Oryctolagus cuniculus: one gene and its partners. The protein of the gene in region 3 binds, or shares a complex with, the protein of the main gene of each other region. Links are inferred from orthologs where the notes say so. Each region holds a gene or a part of one and is shown on either strand. Other genes may lie near its edges.

Region 1 (5,983 bases), on a different chromosome or scaffold from region 3:
GTGCAGTGAAGGCCCAGTCCCTGCTTCTAAGCCAGCAGGAAAGGCACTGAGTCATCATGTGGCAGAAGCGCAAAAGGAGCTGGGACACTTCCCCTCAACTTCCTTTGTAAGAGCCCAAATCACGTTCATGAGGGTAGAGCACTTGTGACTTAATCAATTGGAAATTATATATGCCCTATATGGGTATAGAGGGGCACATATATTCAAAGCACAAGTGAGAGCTGCAAAATTTGCCTGTTGTGTCCTTGCATATTTAGCAAAAGTTAGCTCTTACCACTTCTTTCCATTGGTTCTTTCCCCACCTGCTCAGTCCCTGCATTTTCTCCCTTTGCCTTCCTTCCCCTTATCCTATTCCCCCATAACTAGTTAACTTATCACATGTATTTTTAAAGACTTACTTATTTATTTGAAACACAGAGTTATGGAGGAAGGAGGAAGTCAGAGAATGAGATCTTCCATCTGCTTGTTTACTCCCCAAATGGCCACAATGATTGAAGCTGGGCTGATCCGAAGCTAGGAGCAAGAGCTTCCTCTGAGTCTCCCAAAATAATGCACTTTTAAAATTAGCATGTTTTGTTTCACATTTTATGTGTAATGTGTTTATTATAGAAAATACAGGAAAAGTGAATTATTGTTCAAAAGTGCTGCTAAAAATTAAGTAAAATATTAATGTATAATAAGTATGTTTAATGTATTTTAATGTTTTAAAATCAAAGTATAATTTAGTAAGATTTGTTTCCATTAGTATTTCTATTTTCTTGTGTGATACAGCTGCAGGTAGTTTTTCATTATTCCACAGTTCTTTCTCTTGTTTGTCTTTGCTACTCATGCCTCAAAAGAACACTTTTATGCATCCTTAATCTCTCCTGTCTCCCAATTTTTTTTTTAATCTTCTGCAGAGACAGTGCTTTCATTCCTTTCATCCCCTTCTCTCATACCTTCCCTTCTCCATATATTAACTTCGCACTTTGTAATTCATCCTTACTTGGGTAGAAATTTAGTTTTCAGTAATATGCTGCCCATATTCCAACTTAGACTCTCTTGCTATTTTACAGGTCATTAATTTTTATATGAATCTTCTGGTTGAAAGAAATAAAAAGCAAGGCTATCCAGTACTTCATGCATTCAGTACTTTCTTCTATCCTAAATTAAAGTCTGGGGGTTACCAAGCAGTGAAAAGATGGACCAAAGGGGTAAATCTCTTTGAACAGGAACTTATTCTGGTGCCTATTCATCGAAAGGTACACTGGAGCCTGGTGGTAAGTTGAGAGGATTAGTTGTTGGGGTTTGGATACAGACTGTTTTCTTAAATAATTAAGGCTACTCTTTTCTGTCCAGTGATAAGACCAGTAAGGATATGTTAAAGGCATGCTGCGTAGAGTACCTTCTGAACAGCTTGGAAAGCTAGGAGACACAGTCCCTATACCTGGAGCTTTCATTCAGTTTTGTTTATAAGATGTTAAACAGATTTATTATAAAAGAATGAAAGTATAAAGAAGAGAACAAACAAAATTCATCATTGAGAGGGCCACTGATACTTTGGTGAATTAGTTTCTAGCCCTTTCTCTAGGAATAGAAATATATATATGTTAACTTACAATGTTTTGTAACTTTTTTTAAATTAAAGAATATGTCCTAGAAATTCATTCATGTTTGATTTTTTCAAAGATGGTTTTAATTTTGGAAATAAAGTTCTTCTGCTATATATAAGATGTTTTTGGATAATGCAATTTTCCATTATAGGTGATGGACCTAAGAAAAAAGTGTCTTAAATATCTGGATTCTATGGGGCAAAAGGGCCACAGGATCTGTGAGATTCTTCTGTAAGTAAAGATTGAAAAACTTCACTACTGTCTCATTAAACCCTTGTTAGGGTTTAATGGTGTTTAACAATCACCATTGTTTTTCTGTTTAATCCTAGGAAGCTCTGGATGGTAGTCTTAATGTACAGTTAAGATTCTCTATCTGTTAGGTCAGAACTTAATTGAATCCATCTTTTTTGGTTTAAATATGATATCTGATCTTTGAGAACATCTTACTTGGTAGCATATTCAATTGAAAACAAGTTTGTCATGTGTTATTATGTAAACTATACCTTGTTCGAATCCTTATCCTGTGATTTGAATGAGATCTCTTTGGATTTGTTACATTATTCTGAATGTCCTAAAGAACTGTTATAGGGAGTATTAGTCCTCTAAATTTTGGAGCCTACTCCATGTCTTTGTGCTTTCATGAGAGTTGGCTTCATCTCATGGAATACAGGGGAAACTTTTAAGTTAATAGTCATCCCCTTACTTCTGGGGATGAGTTCCAAGATCGCTAGTGGGTAGCTGAAACCACAGACTGTTCCCAAACATATCTGTTTTCCCTCTTGCCCTGCAGTGATGCTGTATGGTGCCCAAGTTAACCTGTCTTTCCTTGTCTCATTTGCATCACTACTTTTGTGCTTTGGGGCCATTTAGGTAAAATTAGATTAATTTGAACACAATATGAAAGCATGACAGTTGATTTGATAACAAAGATGGCTACTCAGTGACTGGGCGGGTGGTATATACAGCATGGATAAGCAAGGACAAAGGGTTGATTTATGTCCCAGGCCAGACCAAGTGGACAGTGTGAGATTTCATCATGTTACACAGAACAATGTGCAGTTTAGATGTTATGAAGCATGTATTATTTTTATAAGGTTTATTTAATTATTTGTAAGAGTTAAAGTTGTGTGGAGGGGAAGATCTCTTCCATTTTTACTTTCCAAATGGCTATGATGGCTGGAGGTTGGCCATGCTGAAGCCAGGAGCCAGAGGAGTTTCATCCCAGTCTCTCATATGGGTGGCAGGGGCCCAATTACTTGGACCATTTTTTCCTGCTTTCCCTTGCTAATTAGCAGGGAGCTGGATCAGAAGTGGAGTAACCAGGACTCCAGCTGGTATCCATATGGGATGCCAGCATACAGACTACAGCTTAACTTGCTGTGCCAAGTGCTGGCCCCATGAATTACTTATTTATTTCTGGAATTTCCCTTTATATTTTTGGACTGTGGGTAACTGAAACTACAAATACTGTAGTAATTGCTAGAAACCAGCCTTTAAAGTCTAGCCTCTTATTTCTTTTAAGTGGTAATGTGAATTTTTTTTAAAGATTTATTTTATTTATTTGAAAGAGTTAAAGAGAGAGGTAGAGACAGATAGAGAGGTCTTCCATCTGCTGGTTCACTCCCCAGATAGGTGCAACGGCTGGAATGGCGGTGATCTTAAGCCAGGAGCCAGGAGCCTCCTCCAGGTCTCTCACCGTGGGTGGAGGGGCCCAAGAACTTGGGCCGTCTTCTGCTGCTATCCTAGGCCATAGCGAGAGCTGGATTGGAAGAGGAGCAGCTGGGACTAGAACAGGTGCCCATATGGGATGCCGGCACCTCAGGCCAGGACGTTAACCCACTGCTCCACAGTGCCAGCCCAGTAACATGAGCTTCATAGTGAGAATGCTGTCAGTAAGATGAATCCATTTTGAATCTCTTTTACTTTCTGGAAGCAACTGCAGTTTTCTGCTTTTAACTTTTCTGAGGATAAATGAATTTGTTAAGTTAATCTTGTGAAAGAAGATATGATTACTAAAAATTCAAAAATTTTTAATGTTTTAACATAAAAGACCCTTTTTATTTTTATCTATCTTGATAAACAAACAAACAAACTGAGGCTGGTTTCTAGCAATTACTACAGTAGTTGTAGTTTCAGTTACCCACAGTCCAAAAATATCAAAAGGAACATTCCAGAAATAAATAAATACTTCATGGGGTCAGCACTGTGGCACAGCAAATTAAGCTGCTGCCTGTATGCTGGCATTCCATGTGGACACCAGATTGAGTCCTGGCTGTTCCACTTCTGATCCAGCAATTAGAAACTGGTTATGATACACCAAATTATTTGATCTTTCTGGTATTTTCTGTGTAAGATGTTTATAAAATGTACACATATACATACCTGTATGCGCATACATACATTTATATTACCACATGCATAGAAATTTCTTACTGGAATCACACACAAGAGTATTGGGTGGTGCTTATAACAATACATACTTCTGTTACATTCATATTCCCTCCCTGCTTGCCTACCTTTCTTTTGGAAGGTTCAGTTCCCATGTATCTAAGGTTTACTATGCTCCTAGTCCAGTTTTCTCTGCTTTTTTTTTATTGTCCCCTTCCCCCTGAGACTTTTGTAATTTAATTTCTCCATAACGAGAGACAATAATACTAAGCAATAAGTCATAATTGGTTGAGCTTTAGAGGGCTACAAACCATCGAAATATCTAAAGATTATTACCGCTAAGTACCAGTTTTCACTCCCTTGGGAGCAATGTTACCTTATTTGAGAGTATAGGACCTGGTTGGTCTAATACCAGTTTAACTTATTTTGCAGCTTAGCAGGAAAACTGTAAAATTAATCACTTTCAGTAGTTAAGTATGTCTTCTAAGAATATAAAATTCTGCTACAGTGGTGGGTATTTTAGTGCAGCAGAGTAATCCACCACTTAGGGATACCTCCATCCTATATCAGAGTGCCTGGTTTGAGTCCCAGCTACTCTCTGTGTTTCTGATCCAGCTTCCTGGTAATCCATCTGGGAAGCAGTGGATGATGGTGTAACAACTTGGGTTCCTTCTGCCTTCATGAGAGACTCAGATGGAGTTGCTGATTCCTGGCTTCTGCCTGATTGTTGCAAGAAATTGGGGTGGGGCTGGTGCTGGTAGTGCTGTGGTGCTGGTATCCCATGGGTGCTGGTTCTAGTCCTGACTGCTCCTCTTCTGATTCAGCTCTCTGCGGTGGCCTGAGAAAGCAGTAGAAGATGGCCCCTGGCCAGCGCCGCGGCTCACTAGGCTAATCCTCCACCTAGCAGCGCCGGCAGTCGGGGCACCGGATTCTGTCCTGGTTGCCCCTCTTCCAGGCCAACTCTCTGCTGTGGCCCTGGAATGCAGTGGAGGATGGCCCAAGTGCTTGGGCCCTGTACCCCATGGGAGACCAGGATAAGCACCTGGCTCCTGCCTTCAGATCAGCGTGGTGTGCCAGCTGCAGCGCGCCAGCCTTGGCGGCCATTGGAGGGTGAACCAACGGCAAAAAACCAACTACCCACTCTGCCTGTCAAAAAAAAAAAAAAAAAAAAAAAAAGATGGCCCCTGCACCCATATGGGAGACCTAGAAAAGCTTCTGGCTCCTAGCTTCAGATCAGCCCCAGCTCCAGCCGTTGTGGCCATATTATATCTCTCCCTCTCAGTATCTGTAACTCTACCTCTCAAATACATAAATTTTAATACATCTTTTATTTATTTTTAATTTTTATTTTTTGACAGGCAGAGTGGGCAGTGAGAGAGACAGAGAGAAAGGTCTTCCTTTTGCCGTTGGTTCACCCTCCAATGGCTGGTGCGCTGCGGCCGGCGCACCGTGCTGATCCGATGGCAGGAGCCAGGTACTTATCCTGGTCTCCCATGGGGTGCAGGGCCCAAGTACTTGGGCCATCCTCCATTGCACTCCCTGGCCACAACAGAGAGCTGGCCTGGAAGAGGGGCAACCGGGACAGAATCTGGCGCCCCGACTGGGACTAGAACCTGGTGTGCCGGCGCTGCAAGGCGGAGGATTAGCCTAGTGAGCCTTGACGCTGGCCCACATCTTTTATTTTTTGACAGGCAGAGTTAGACAGTGAGAGAGAGACAGAGAGAAAAGTCTTCCTTTTTCCGTTGGTTCACCCCCCAAATGGCTGCTACAGCCGGCTGGCATGCTGGGCTGATCTGAAGCCAGGAGCCAGGTGCTTCCTCCTGGTCTCCCATGCGGGTGCAGGGCCCAAGCACTTGGACCATCCTCCGCTGCATTCCTGGGCCACAGCAGAGAGCTGGACTGGAAGAGGAGCAACTGGGACAGAACCGGCACCCCAACCAGGACTAGAACATAGGGTTCCAGTGCCACAGGCTGAGGATTAGCCAAGTGAGCCGTGGTGCCAG
Region 2 (5,983 bases), on a different chromosome or scaffold from region 3:
AGGGACTGTTTCAAGCCAAAGCCAGCAGCCCAATATTCCGTACTAGTCTTGTACTGTTTTGCCAAATGCATAAACAGCTAGATTGGAAGCAGAGCAGGCAGGACTTGAATAGATACTCATGGCCCATATATGTCTATTTCTATCCCATTAAGTCTCAAGTTTTCAATTCTGCAACTATTTCTAGGACATATATTTAATTAAATGTTACTGTAAGTGGTATAGTTATTGTTCAATTTAAGTCTTTATAGGTGTCTTATGAATAGAATGTAATAGGCTAAGGCTTTTAATGCTTACCAAACTGCCACCCACTGATAGCTTTGCCACTTATATATTTTCTCCAAATTCATAGTATTCCTTAGATGATGGAATTTCCTTAAAATAATCTCTAAAATAAGGCATATCATTCACTTACCTATTTGACTGCTAACTTGTTTCTGATTGTTAAATCTTTTCCTTTCCTTAAAATGTTTATCTTAAGCATCATGTGCTTCAGCTATTTAATTTTATGTTTCTCTTTTTTAAAAATATAGTTCCTGAATGTTCCAATGTTTCGAAATGTCTCTCTGAAGTGCCTCACCGAGATTGCTGGTGTGAGTGTAAGCCAATATGAGGAACAATTTGTAACGCTATTTACACTGACAATGATGCAGCTAAAACAGGTAATAGTCTGCTATCTTGAAAATGGAACCATTTTTGTGCCTTAGAAAATGTTGGATTCAAGTTCAGATATTTTACCTCCATGTGTTACACATCAAGTGTATTGAGATATTGTGTTTTTATTTTTTTAAGATTTATTTATTTGAAAGAGTTCGAGAGAGAGAGAGAGAGGTCTTCCATCTGATGGTTCACTCCCCAGTTGGTTGCAGTGGCTGAAGCTGTGCCGATCCAAAGCCAGGAGCTTCCTCTGGGTCTCCCACACGGGTGCAGGTCCCAAGGACTTGGGCCATCTTCTACTGCAGTCCCAGGCCATAGCAGAGAGCTAGATAGGAAATGGAGCAGCCAGGTCTCGAGCTGGCACCCATATGGGATGCCGGCGCTGCAGGCCAAGGCGCCAACTCTGAAATATTGTGTTTCTATAAAATCAGTAGTAAAACAGAAGTTTTTAATGGGAACTGAAAATTACTTGAAGTAAAGGTTTTAGGTGTGTCAAAAGAATACATTTTTTAAAATTAAGATTTGTTTCTTTGAGAAACCGAGTTATAGAGAGAGAAATCTTACATCTGCTGGTTCACTCCCCAAATGGCCACAACAGCTATAGCTGAGCTGATCCGAAGCCAAGAGTCATGAGCGTTTTTGCGGTCTCCCATGTGGGTGCAAGGGCCCAAGGACTTGGACCATCTTCCACTGCTTTCCCAGACCATTAGCAGGGAGTTGGATTGGAAGTGGAGCAGTTGGGTCTTGAACCAGCACCAATATGGATGCTGTGCAGAAGCTTAACCTACTACACAACAGTGCCAGCCCCAACAATGTATTTTCTCCAGAATTTACAAGCTTTATCTTGCTGCAGAGATCAGACTAGATATTGGGAAACGTTTTCATTGTCGCTGAGAAAGGAAAAGTCTGATGGAAAAATTGAAAGACTATAATAGAGCTAGTTTCCCTGTAACCTTTCTTTTTGGAGAAAATCGAAAACCTAGGTCACAGAGAAATAAAAGGAGGCATAACAGAATGAGGAGTCCTCTTATGGCTTAATATTAATAAATGTGTATTGTGTAGGCTTACAGGTTTAAATTATAGTGTTTAATTTTTCAAAAATATTTTTGTTTTAATTTTTAAGTATTTATTTTAATTTACAGATGCTTCCTTTAAATACCAATATTCGACTAGCATATTCAAATGGAAAAGATGACGAACAGAACTTTATTCAAAACCTCAGTTTGTTTCTCTGCACCTTTCTTAAGGAACACGGTCAACTTATAGAAAAAAGATTAAATCTCAGGGAAACACTCATGGAGGTAGGCTTTTTGGAGTCTTTGGGTTCTGAAATGCTTTTCTGTATTAAAAAAACTCAAAAATATGATGCCTGTTACTTTCCCTGTGTGTGTGTGTGTGTGTGTGTGTGTGTGTGTGTATGAATGTATGTATATATGTGTATATCTATGTATGTGTGTATATATGCGTGTATATATGCGTATATACATATGTATATATTCGTGTGTGTGCATATATACATATACACACACAAATAATATATTTTGTCAGTTTTCAAATACAGTCAATAAGCTGAGTTTCTAATTTTCTGCATAAGGCTGTGTCTACTAATTTCTCATAAAAATAAATTCCTAAACAATATTACACATGTAACTTTACAAGCTAAATGTCCAAAAATATTTTATAATTAATTGAGGCATTCACATAAGTTTATCCATTTGGGTGTATGCAGTCAAGTAGCATTTTTTGTATAAGTATTAATATCTATTTCAAAACAGTTTTCATCAACCCTGAAGGAGATTGTGTACCCCTCAAACTAATCATTATCTCTGTAGTTTTCCTCAACCACTATAAACCATTTAGTTGGTTTCTGCCAGTGGACTTAGCTGTTCTGCTTTTTTCATCTAAATTTAGATCATACAGCCTGTGACTTTTGTGTATGGTTTCTGTGTCAGTTTGATGTATTTAAAGATTCCTCTGTTATATTCTTATCAATTATATTCTATTATATGAACATAACATCTTATTTATCAATTTACCTTTAAACATTTGGATTATTTCTGCACTTTGGCTATCATCAAAGGACTTTTACAAACAATGTTTTTAAGCTATTTGATTATAATACATAATGATCAACTTTTTAGGAGGTTGTTGGAAGTATGGTGGCATATGTCAGAAAAAGCACCATTTGTTTTCAGAGTTCATAGATTTGAGTAAGTAATGAAATCAAAGATGTATGAAATAAAACATTAATTTCCAATTAAAGTAGCAAGTGGAAGGTAATTTTGAGATTTGATAGTAAATACAAATTAACACTTTTGGTCTTACAGGCTCTTCATTATATGTTGCTGGTATCAGAAGTTGAAGAAACTGAAATCTTTAAGATTTGTCTTGAATACTGGAATCACTTGGCAGCTGAACTCTATAGAGAGAGCCCATTTTCTACATCTGCCTCTCCATTGCTGTCAGGAACTCAACATTTTGATGTTCCCCCCAGGAGACAGCTCTATCTGCCAGTGTTATCCAAGGTATGTATTCTTCCTGATGCTTACTGTGGTTTTGATTGCTATATGTAGATCCTTTTAATCTGGCTAATCTATCTAAATTAATAAGCTGCCAAAAGGATCCAACAACTTCTGCAGGAATTGTGAAAGCTGGAACCAGAAAGAATTTGATTTGGCCATGATTTTCAGAAGCAGTTTCTGTCCTTGCATCATCAACATCACTTGAGAATTTGTTGGGCATGCAAGTTCATTGGCCTTTCACTTTTGCATTGATAGAGAATGTGGAAAAGAGACACAGGAAACTGTTGCAATGAAATTTAAATTTTTGCCTTTATAGTTCACGTTTTTTATGTGATCAAGTAATAGCATTAAATATCTTTTTAACTTTTCTGGAAATTTTTTTTTGGCATGGTAATTTAAGTACATGCCTTGAGTTTTCCCCCTAAGTTTCTACATTTGTGGCTAATAGCATATAGCTAACAGATTTTCTTAATTGTCTTCTTGTTGGATAGGTCCGTTTATTGATGGTTAGTCGTATGGCGAAACCAGAGGAAGTATTGGTTGTAGAAAATGATCAGGGAGAAGTTGTGAGAGAATTCATGAAGGATACAGATTCCATAAATTTGTATAAAAATATGAGAGAAACATTAGGTAAGTTAAAACCTACTTTGAGATGGGAATAATTTTCAGAAAATGGGGTACACTGATGTTTTAAAGTAGCCATTTTTATTAATTTACTTTTTTTAATAAAAGTTTCTGGCTCATTGTGTTTTGCAATTGAAACATCTGAAATTTTTCTTTGTAGTTTATCTTACTCATCTGGATTATGTAGATACAGAAAGAATAATGACTGAAAAGCTTCACAATCAAGTGAATGGGACAGAGTGGTCATGGAAAAATTTGAATACATTGTGTTGGGCAATAGGCTCCATTAGTGGAGCCATGCATGAAGAGGATGAAAAACGATTTCTTGTTACTGTTATAAAGGTAAGCAAAGAATATATGTGAACTATAGCCATAAAATACTTTGTTAAGATAAATGACTTAAAATTGTCTTATTTTACAGGATCTATTAGGATTATGTGAACAGAAAAGAGGGAAAGATAATAAAGCTATTATTGCATCAAATATCATGTACATAGTAGGTCAATATCCAAGATTTTTGAGAGCTCACTGGAAATTTTTGAAGACTGTAGTTAACAAGCTGTTTGAATTCATGCATGGTAAATTATTCATTTAATTCAATATGTTTTAATTTTTTTTTAATTGAGCAAAATAGATGAATGTTTTTATTTTATTAGAGACCCATGATGGAGTCCAGGACATGGCTTGTGATACTTTTATTAAAATAGCTCAGAAGTGCCGCAGGCATTTTGTTCAAGTCCAGGTTGGAGAAGTAATGCCATTTATTGATGAAATTTTGAACAACATTAACACTATCATTTGTGATCTTCAGCCTCAACAGGTATGTAAAATGCTAAGCATGTAATTTTTAGAAAGTGATCCCTGTATTAATAAGAATTTAATGGAAATAAAATCCTACAGTTAAATTAATTGTAAGTTTTTGTGTTGACCTTTCATAGCAAGCCAGAAACTTAACAGTTGGTTTGCTAGACTATTGTCCTATGTAATATAGAGTGAGTGTGTTGTGTGATTTTCTTTACCAAAATGCATAAGTGTAAGCAAAGTCTGCTTTTTAAAATAGGTTCATACATTTTATGAAGCTGTGGGCTACATGATTGGTGCACAAACAGACCAGACAGTCCAAGAACATCTGATTGAAAAATACATGCTGCTCCCCAATCAAGTGTGGGATAGTATAATCCAGCAGGCAACCAAAGTAAGTTTTAGTTGGAATTGAAGAAGAAATTTGCAAATGTGATTTTTGTACTTTTGATATATACCATATATGCATATTCCTGATCCATAAGTGATTTTTGAAAAAATTAATATTTCCGTTTTCTTTTGTCTGAAAGGCAGACAGAGAGAGAGACAGGCAGTCAGAAATCTTCATCTGCTGGTTTACTCCCCAGCACCCAAGGCCAGCCACTCAATCTCAGTTGTGCATACGGGTGGTGGGTGCCCAAGCACTTAAGCCATAATCTTGATGCCTCCTAGGGTGCACATTAGGGAGGAAGCTGGATCAGAAATGAAAGAGCAAGACTCAAACCAGTTATTCCGATAAAAGATAACGCAACAAGTATCTAACCACTGTGCCTAATGCCTGCCCTCTCTCAAAAAACTTTTCTTAATTGTTTATGTGAAAATTTGAATGTTTTAGTCATTTTTGGTAATTGAAATGTTCTGTGTATGTTTTATCATATAGGATTGTAAGGGTTTGTGTAGAGAAGGTACTGGGTTTTCATTGAGTAGTTATGGGTAATTCTCAAGTGATGGGGTTTGTTTTTGTCTTTGCAGAATGTGGATATACTGAAAGATCCTGAAACAGTCAAACAGCTTGGTAGCATATTGAAGACAAATGTGAGAGCTTGTAAAGCTGTTGGACACCCTTTTGTAATTCAGCTTGGAAGAATTTACCTAGATATGCTTAATGTGTACAAGTGCCTCAGTGAAAATATTTCTGCAGCTATTCAGGCTAATGGTAGGTAATATAATGCTATATGTACAAAAATGTTTTATCTTCACTGGTTTAGGTTAACCAGTCAGTATTTCTGACAGGTTTAAATCAACTTTCCCATGTACCATATTACCCCTGATGTTTTCTTTTTTCAACAGTTGGATGTCCCCTTTTAAGATTATTCTTAATAATTACTTTCCTTTTAAATTTTATATACCTTTAGCTTTAAATTTTTGTAATAGTAAATGGT
Region 3 (5,983 bases):
GCACTGCACCAGCAGGCACAGGCCAGAGGCCAAGCACTGTTGTTACCAGCAGCATCGTTGGCGTCATTTCAGCGAAGAAACAGGAGGACTCCTAGGGATGGACAAGCGTGTGGGGCCCAGGACCAGCACCAATGGCCCTCTGACCCGCAGCGCACACACAGGCAGGTTTGGGACCCCAGAACACGTGGCTGAGAGCAGAGAGGGCCATCAGGGCATCCAGCCGGGATGGGTACAGAGGGGCAGCTCAGATGGGGTGGGGAAGGAGACACAGGCACAAGCTTGGCAGTGGGAGGGAGGGCGGGTCTCACCCACCCCACCCACCTGGAGCTCCTGCCAGGGGGAGTGTGCCATGCTGGGGGCAGGAGGGGCCGAGACCCATCGTGCTGCGGACTCCAGCAGAGGAGCAGGCAGTCAGATCTCTCCACAAAGCCAGGCCGCCTGCAGCCTGGGCAGTCTTTGTGGCAGGTGGGTGGATGCCTGCAGTAGCAGATGAACTGCCAGACGCTGAGGCGACCAGGCCTGCGGCAAGGGAGTCGGTGCCAGTCCTCGCACGCCTACCACATGGCCTCCCCGCAACACGGTCCCGCAGGCTGCACGTGTCCTGATGCAGCCCCGAGTGCTGGGCCTCACCTACGGGGCTACACGCCCCTCAGGGCAGGGATCTTCCTGCTCCTCTCACGCCCACATCCCCAAAGGCGCTGGGCCTCACAGAAGTGTGGCTGCACAGAGCTCTCTGGTTGATCCAGTGGGGAGGCTGAGGCCCGAGGCCTCAGAGAGGGCACCCCTGCCTGGTGGTCCTAATGCTTTATTACCCGACTGTGACCAGTGCTCCAGGGCCTAGCCAAGGTTTAAGTCTCTGGGGACCAGGCAGCTCCCACAGCAAGGTGTGTCCACAAGGGAAGCCCAGGATGACCAGGGCCCTTAGAATGATGCAACTGTGGGAACCGACAGAACTGACCACAGGGACCCCGATAAGTATGGGATCCATGAGCAGACTTGGGTAAGACACCAGCCTGGTCCCTTGCTGGTGTGTGATGCAGGCAAATTTCTTAACTATGGCAATGCTGGGAGAGGGCCCAGGAGGGGCAAGGGCCTCCAGGTGCCCACGTGGCGCAGCAGGCTGGCTGGGCTGGGACTCCTCACCAGGCCAGGCAAGTGGAAGGCCAGTGTGGATAAATGCGACAAAGCCACACTCACTTGGTCATGAATGCCAGCAGCAGGGGTGCGAGAGCCTTGGGGAAATAGTCCTGCTGCACCATGTGGTTCAGTGCCATAAGGGGGCCGTACAGGTTGGCAATGGCCTTGATCTTGTCTTCACTCTGCAAGAGGACACAGCAGAAGGGAGGTGAGCTAGAAGTCATCTGGAGGGCCCTGGGCTCCACCACCCAGACAGTGGCTCACTGAGGCCCCACAGAGAGCCCGTCACAGAGCCCAGGCTGCTTGGGGACAGGACTGGAGCCGCAGGAAGCCTTGGGGTGGTGACCTGGGCAGCCGCCCCTGCACCCGCCGCTCCTCTGACCTCACCTTCAGCAGGCCCATGTGGATGAGCAGCCTGGTGAGGAAGGCATTGGGGTTGAAGGACGAGCAGCTGAGGGCCTTCTTCATAAGGGCGTCTGTGGGGCAGAAGCAGCAGAGGGCTGGGCACAGGCCCAAGGGTGTCCCAAGGCCCGGCCCTGCCTCCCTGTCCCATCGAGAGGTGAACATGGCGAGGAATGACAGGGACAGGCACCAGACTGGGGAGGCACTTGGCACAATGAGAAGCTTGGCTAGATACCTTGGCCCCTCCCCTCCTGGCCTAACATGTAAAATGGCATGGAGACGAAGCCACTGTGCCCACCTCACACAGCTGGTTCCCATATGTGGACACCCCACCACTGGAGGAGGTGTAGCCAGGTTGGGGGGACCTGCAGGGAGTGTGCCAGGCCGCTCTGAGAAACAGAACTCGAGCCTCTTGTTCTCCCATTAATTCTCAGGGAGACCTGCACGCTCCCAGCTGGCCTTGGCCTCTATGCCCACAGCTGACTCTGGGGAAGCCCCAGCACTTCCTATCCCTCCTCTCCTCCTGCATAAGCTGTGTCCTCACCACAGGACCCCCCAACCCCTTCCTGCCTACTGAAATCTGGTCCACACTGGCTCAAACAGCACCAAGGAGGAAGGTGACAGGCTCTGGAAGCAAACGTGGTCACAGGGCTTACCAGAGTGCACTCAAGAATGACTTGGGGAAGGGTGAACACGGCGTGAGGCTTAACAAGATGCCCACACCCGTACCAGTGCTTGGGTCTGAGCCCACTCTACCCCAACTCCAGCTTTCTGCTAATGTGCACCCTGGGAGGCAGCAGATGGTGGCCCTGCCATCCCTGTGGGAGGCCTCCAGTAAATTCCAGGTTCTGGGCTTTGGCACGGTCCAGCCCCAGCTGTTGCAGGTGTTTGGAGGGTGACCTAGTGGATGTTCAGATCACACTGTCTCTCCTTGTCTTTTAAGTAAATGAGCATAAGTTAAGAAAAGGAAGGGAGGGAGGAAGGGAGGGAGGGAGGGAGGAAGGGAGGGAGGGGACCTGGGAAAGGAAAGTGAGGACCCTCCCGCAGAGGGGCTCACATACACACAGGCCCAAGGTGGGGACCAAGGCTCAGCTTGCATCACCCACCTCCTGAATGGGTCCTTGTGGACCCGACTCTGGCCCTCCACACTGGGCACCTGCACTGGACATCACTTGTGAGTTTTCTACAGCTGTCTGGCTTTAGGAAAGACCTAGTTTGCCCAACAGAGCTTCAAAAACCAGGAGAGCACCCAGCCCGCCCCACAGCAGGCCATGGCAAGACCTGACAGGCCAGGCCAGAGTGGCTGGGAGCGCATGCCGCACCAGCGCTGGAGCAGAGCCCCTCGGCGCCCACGTTACCTACTGCGTCCTGCACTGCCGTCCTCACCGCAGCTTCATCCTTAAACACAGACGACACCTTCAGGAAGGCAGCAGCCACTTTCTCCGGGTCAGATGTATCAGTCTGAGGACACCAGAGAGGACGGTCAGGGGCCCGAGTCCCAGGGCCGGGCACAATGATCTGCCTGTTCTGGGGCTTATGAGAGGCCTTGGCACCTGTGACCGCTAGAGGGCAAGGACAGGGCCCTCACCTGTCCTCACCCCAGGCTGTCCCGTGGAGCCTACCTAGAGCCTGGCCCACAGCACATATAGAGTGGATAAGCCCTGAAAACTGTCATCCCTGGGGTCCTCTGGTTTCTTTCTTGTAATCCAAACTGAAGAAATAACGCAGAATATGGACAATATTCACACAAGGATGTGTCCCTCAACTCCACTAACAAGAGAGGAAAGTGGCAAGATACAAATGTCCAGAGACACTGGCCTGCTCATCTGAACCAAGCGTACGCAAAGTTTCATAACCAGGAAAACCATGAACAGGGCTAAGTCAAAGTGTAGGATACAGAAAGGTTTCCATTATATAATCTCATATTTATCATGTTGCAAAAAAGTATACAGACAAAACATTCAAAAGGAAATCACTGAAAATGTCAAGCCAACCCCACACGTGGGCTCCCTGAGCCTCCATTTTTTCATCTATAAAAGGAGTGTAACGGACCACATTTCAAGTTGCAAGAGGACTAAATAAAACCATGACCAAATACAGAGCCCACCAGAAAACAGTGCTGCAGAATCAACTTGGGATGAGCGAATGAACCAACCAGCAAGGCTGCAGCTGGGCGGCCTCCCTGCAGAAGGCTGTGACCTCCAAAGAGGCCCTGGCCAGAGGGTTGTTCTAGAAGCACCTGGGCCCAAACACAGAGACGCTGAGGCACAGGCATGCAGGAGCGGGAGTGGGAAAGGCCCTCGCTCCAGGCCGCACTGGCCACGGCAGGTGGCTCTTCCTGCAGCTGAGCAGTTCCCAGCAGGCACAGGCGCCTGCCTGCACCGGTGGTGGACAGATCTACTGCACACGCTGCTACATGTGTCTGTGTGACTCGGGGGTCAGGCCCCTCCAGCAGCCTGGCACAGGTTAAGTCTGGGGTCACAGTGCTGTTATTACCTGTTGGGCTATCAGCATGGAACTCTTGGGTCCCAGGCGCAGCAGCTTCTCAGGAGAGGGGAAGGCCAGGAAGGTGGAGACGTCTGCAGGCGGCGGGGAGGACAGCACAGGGGCCGGTTCCTGAGAGACGGGGCCGTGGGTGGTTCTGTTGGATTCTGAACCTGACTCCAGGTTGTACCTGCTCCTACACCCACAATTCTTCCCACTCAGCTGCAGTTTCCCAAAGGGTGCAGCCCCCACAGAGGCTGGTCCCAGTAGGTTCCTGATACGGGGTGTGGGAAGCCACCTGCCCAGGATTCCAGAAGCCTGGTATGGCAGAGTGAGTCCATGCTAAGACACGCAACACCTGGGGAAGGACTCAAGAGAGAGGCATGTGAGACCTGAGGTAGACCCCCCAGGGACCAGTCTAGCTGGGTCAGCACTGCTAGCAACGCTAGAGGTGTGGAGAAACACACGGGCCGAGCCGTGCCTTGCCATTCCACTGCACCCAGACACCAGGGAGGACCCCAATCCAGCTGGGCGGGGTCCCAGTCCTACCCAGAGTTCTCCAGAAGCTTTATGTGGGAATCTACAAGGGAACACAAACAGATGGACTGGGGCAAGGCCACCCTGAAACCACCAGGGCCAGGCGAGGGACATCAGGCACGCCTTGCAGTCCTACGTTACCACACCTAAGTGAGTGAAAGTGCATCGGGCAAGCAAACACGTTACTAGGATCACAGCTGTTCCTTCTGTCTCAGCCAGGAGCAGCGGCTGTGCTGAAGCAGGTCCATGGCCCACCCTCGGGAAGACGCTACAGGACTGCGTGCTCAGGGGGCCCAGGGCTCTGATTCTGGCAGAAGACAAGGAACGTACCCCACTGTTAGGGTCCAGAATCTTCCTGGAGGGTGTGGTCGACTCTTCCCCCTGACCTCGCTGCTGCTGAGACTCTTCTTCCTCCTCTTCCTCCTCCTCCTCATCTTCCTCCTCCTCTTCTTCCTCTTCCTCCTCATCTTCTTCTTCCCCTTCCTCCTCTTCCTCGTCTTCGTCATCGTCACCCTCGTCATCACTGCAGACAGGAGTTGGCTAAAGCAGGTTCTCCCTACCCAGTGACCCTCACTGACCACAAGGCTCCAGTCAGACAGCAGGGAGTCTGGGGAGGGTGCCTGCTCCTGGGGCTGGCCCAGGGCTCACCAGAGAGCACGTCACTCATTCTTCAAGACAAAGGATGAGCGTGCAGCAGCTTCTGCAGTCACGGGTGAATCAGATCTTGTCCCTGTCCCAAAGAAGCCCACAGTGTCCCAGGGAGACAGCTGAGGCCCAGGGCGTGGCGGGATCTGTCCAGGCCGAGATGCCCAGGGCAGTGCCACCCTCTTCTCATGACCACAGGAAGCTCCTGGTGCAGGGAGGCAAAGGTCTAGCTGTCCCTGCCCCGAGGAAGGCTGTTCCACTGTCCCCAGACCGGGATCCTCCTGAGGTCCAGCCCCTGAGTCCCCAGTTCCTGGCAGCAGCACAGGCCTGCAGTGGGGACTCAAGACTGAGCATCAGTGAGGTGCAGCTGCAGACCAGCAGGCGGGGCTGCCAGCACAGACCGAGTGCAGTGCAGCAGGAGGCAGCGCGTCCGCTCCCCACCTCTACCCCACCCCACATGCAGAGCCCCGCTCTCTTGCATCAGTCGCTTCCTTCCTAGAGTCAGCGTCTGGGGAACAACCCTGGGCCCCAGCTGTGCCCACTCACACCCCTTCACTGCCCTGGCTTCACGGCCCTCTGTGCCAGCTGCTGCTGGGTCAGGACCAAACCTGACGTCACTTCAGAGGCCCCTGGCTCACCCACTCCTAAGGGTGGCCATGCTCAGCCCTCTGTGTTTCTTTGCTGAAGACACAATTCCTCTCTCCGCTTCCTGCGAGTCAGATGTCCTCAGACCTCCCACGCCTGGCACAGAGCCTGACCCAGAACAGAAGCTCAGTGA

What was found.
Region 1: the proteins of RANGAP1 (region 3) and SENP2 are in contact, whole or in part, in a crystal structure (PDB 2IO3), measured with the Homo sapiens proteins. The link is inferred for Oryctolagus cuniculus from reciprocal best matches to the Homo sapiens genes RANGAP1 and SENP2. Residues at the interface, in NP_001265580.1 of Homo sapiens: Glu467, Asn508, Thr511, Thr514, Arg515, Val518, His519, Leu523, Lys524, Ser525, Glu526, Asp527, Val529; in NP_067640.2 of Homo sapiens: Tyr408, His409, Trp410, Val477, His478, Asp495, Met497, Gly498, Gln499, Lys500, Pro536, His537, Gln541, Gln542, Asn544, Gly545.
Region 2: the proteins of RANGAP1 (region 3) and XPO1 are in contact, whole or in part, in a cryo-EM structure (PDB 9B62), measured with the Homo sapiens proteins. The link is inferred for Oryctolagus cuniculus from reciprocal best matches to the Homo sapiens genes RANGAP1 and XPO1. Residues at the interface, in NP_001265580.1 of Homo sapiens: Ala2, Asp5, Ile6, Leu9, Ala10, Thr12, Leu13, Ala14, Thr16, Gln17, Val18, Ala19, Gln22, Leu23, Ser24, Phe25, Lys28, Glu44, Arg55, Ala561, Thr564, Lys565, Pro566, Ser568, Glu571, Ser572, Ser574, Phe575, Arg577, His578; in NP_003391.1 of Homo sapiens: Lys245, Ser248, Thr249, Tyr252, Lys253, Glu281, Gln282, Val284, Thr285, Leu289, Met292, Gln293, Gln296, Arg340, Asn342, Leu343, Lys514, Val518, Ile521, Lys522, Leu525, Glu529, Arg532, Lys534, Lys537, Ala538, Ala541, Met545, Phe554, His558.

Annotation. Positions count from the first base shown.
Region 1 is NC_091435.1:95,280,898-95,286,880, forward strand, and holds part of SENP2 (sentrin-specific protease 2), read left to right. Parts: intron 1-1,055; coding exon 1,056-1,259; intron 1,260-1,743; coding exon 1,744-1,823; intron 1,824-5,983. UniProt on the Homo sapiens protein: Protease that catalyzes two essential functions in the SUMO pathway.
Region 2 is NC_091433.1:141,248,337-141,254,319, forward strand, and holds part of XPO1 (exportin-1), read left to right. Parts: intron 1-530; coding exon 531-659; intron 660-1,796; coding exon 1,797-1,955; intron 1,956-2,981; coding exon 2,982-3,179; intron 3,180-3,667; coding exon 3,668-3,806; intron 3,807-3,960; coding exon 3,961-4,142; intron 4,143-4,221; coding exon 4,222-4,378; intron 4,379-4,456; coding exon 4,457-4,620; intron 4,621-4,860; coding exon 4,861-4,995; intron 4,996-5,573; coding exon 5,574-5,757; intron 5,758-5,983. UniProt on the Homo sapiens protein: Mediates the nuclear export of cellular proteins (cargos) bearing a leucine-rich nuclear export signal (NES) and of RNAs.
Region 3 is NC_091442.1:117,316,846-117,322,828, forward strand, and holds part of RANGAP1 (ran GTPase-activating protein 1), read right to left. Parts: intron 5,084-5,983; coding exon 4,891-5,083; intron 4,156-4,890; coding exon 4,036-4,155; intron 3,001-4,035; coding exon 2,898-3,000; intron 1,614-2,897; coding exon 1,525-1,613; intron 1,320-1,524; coding exon 1,198-1,319; intron 1-1,197. UniProt on the Homo sapiens protein: GTPase activator for RAN. Converts cytoplasmic GTP-bound RAN to GDP-bound RAN, which is essential for RAN-mediated nuclear import and export. Mediates dissociation of cargo from nuclear export complexes containing XPO1, RAN and RANBP2 after nuclear export.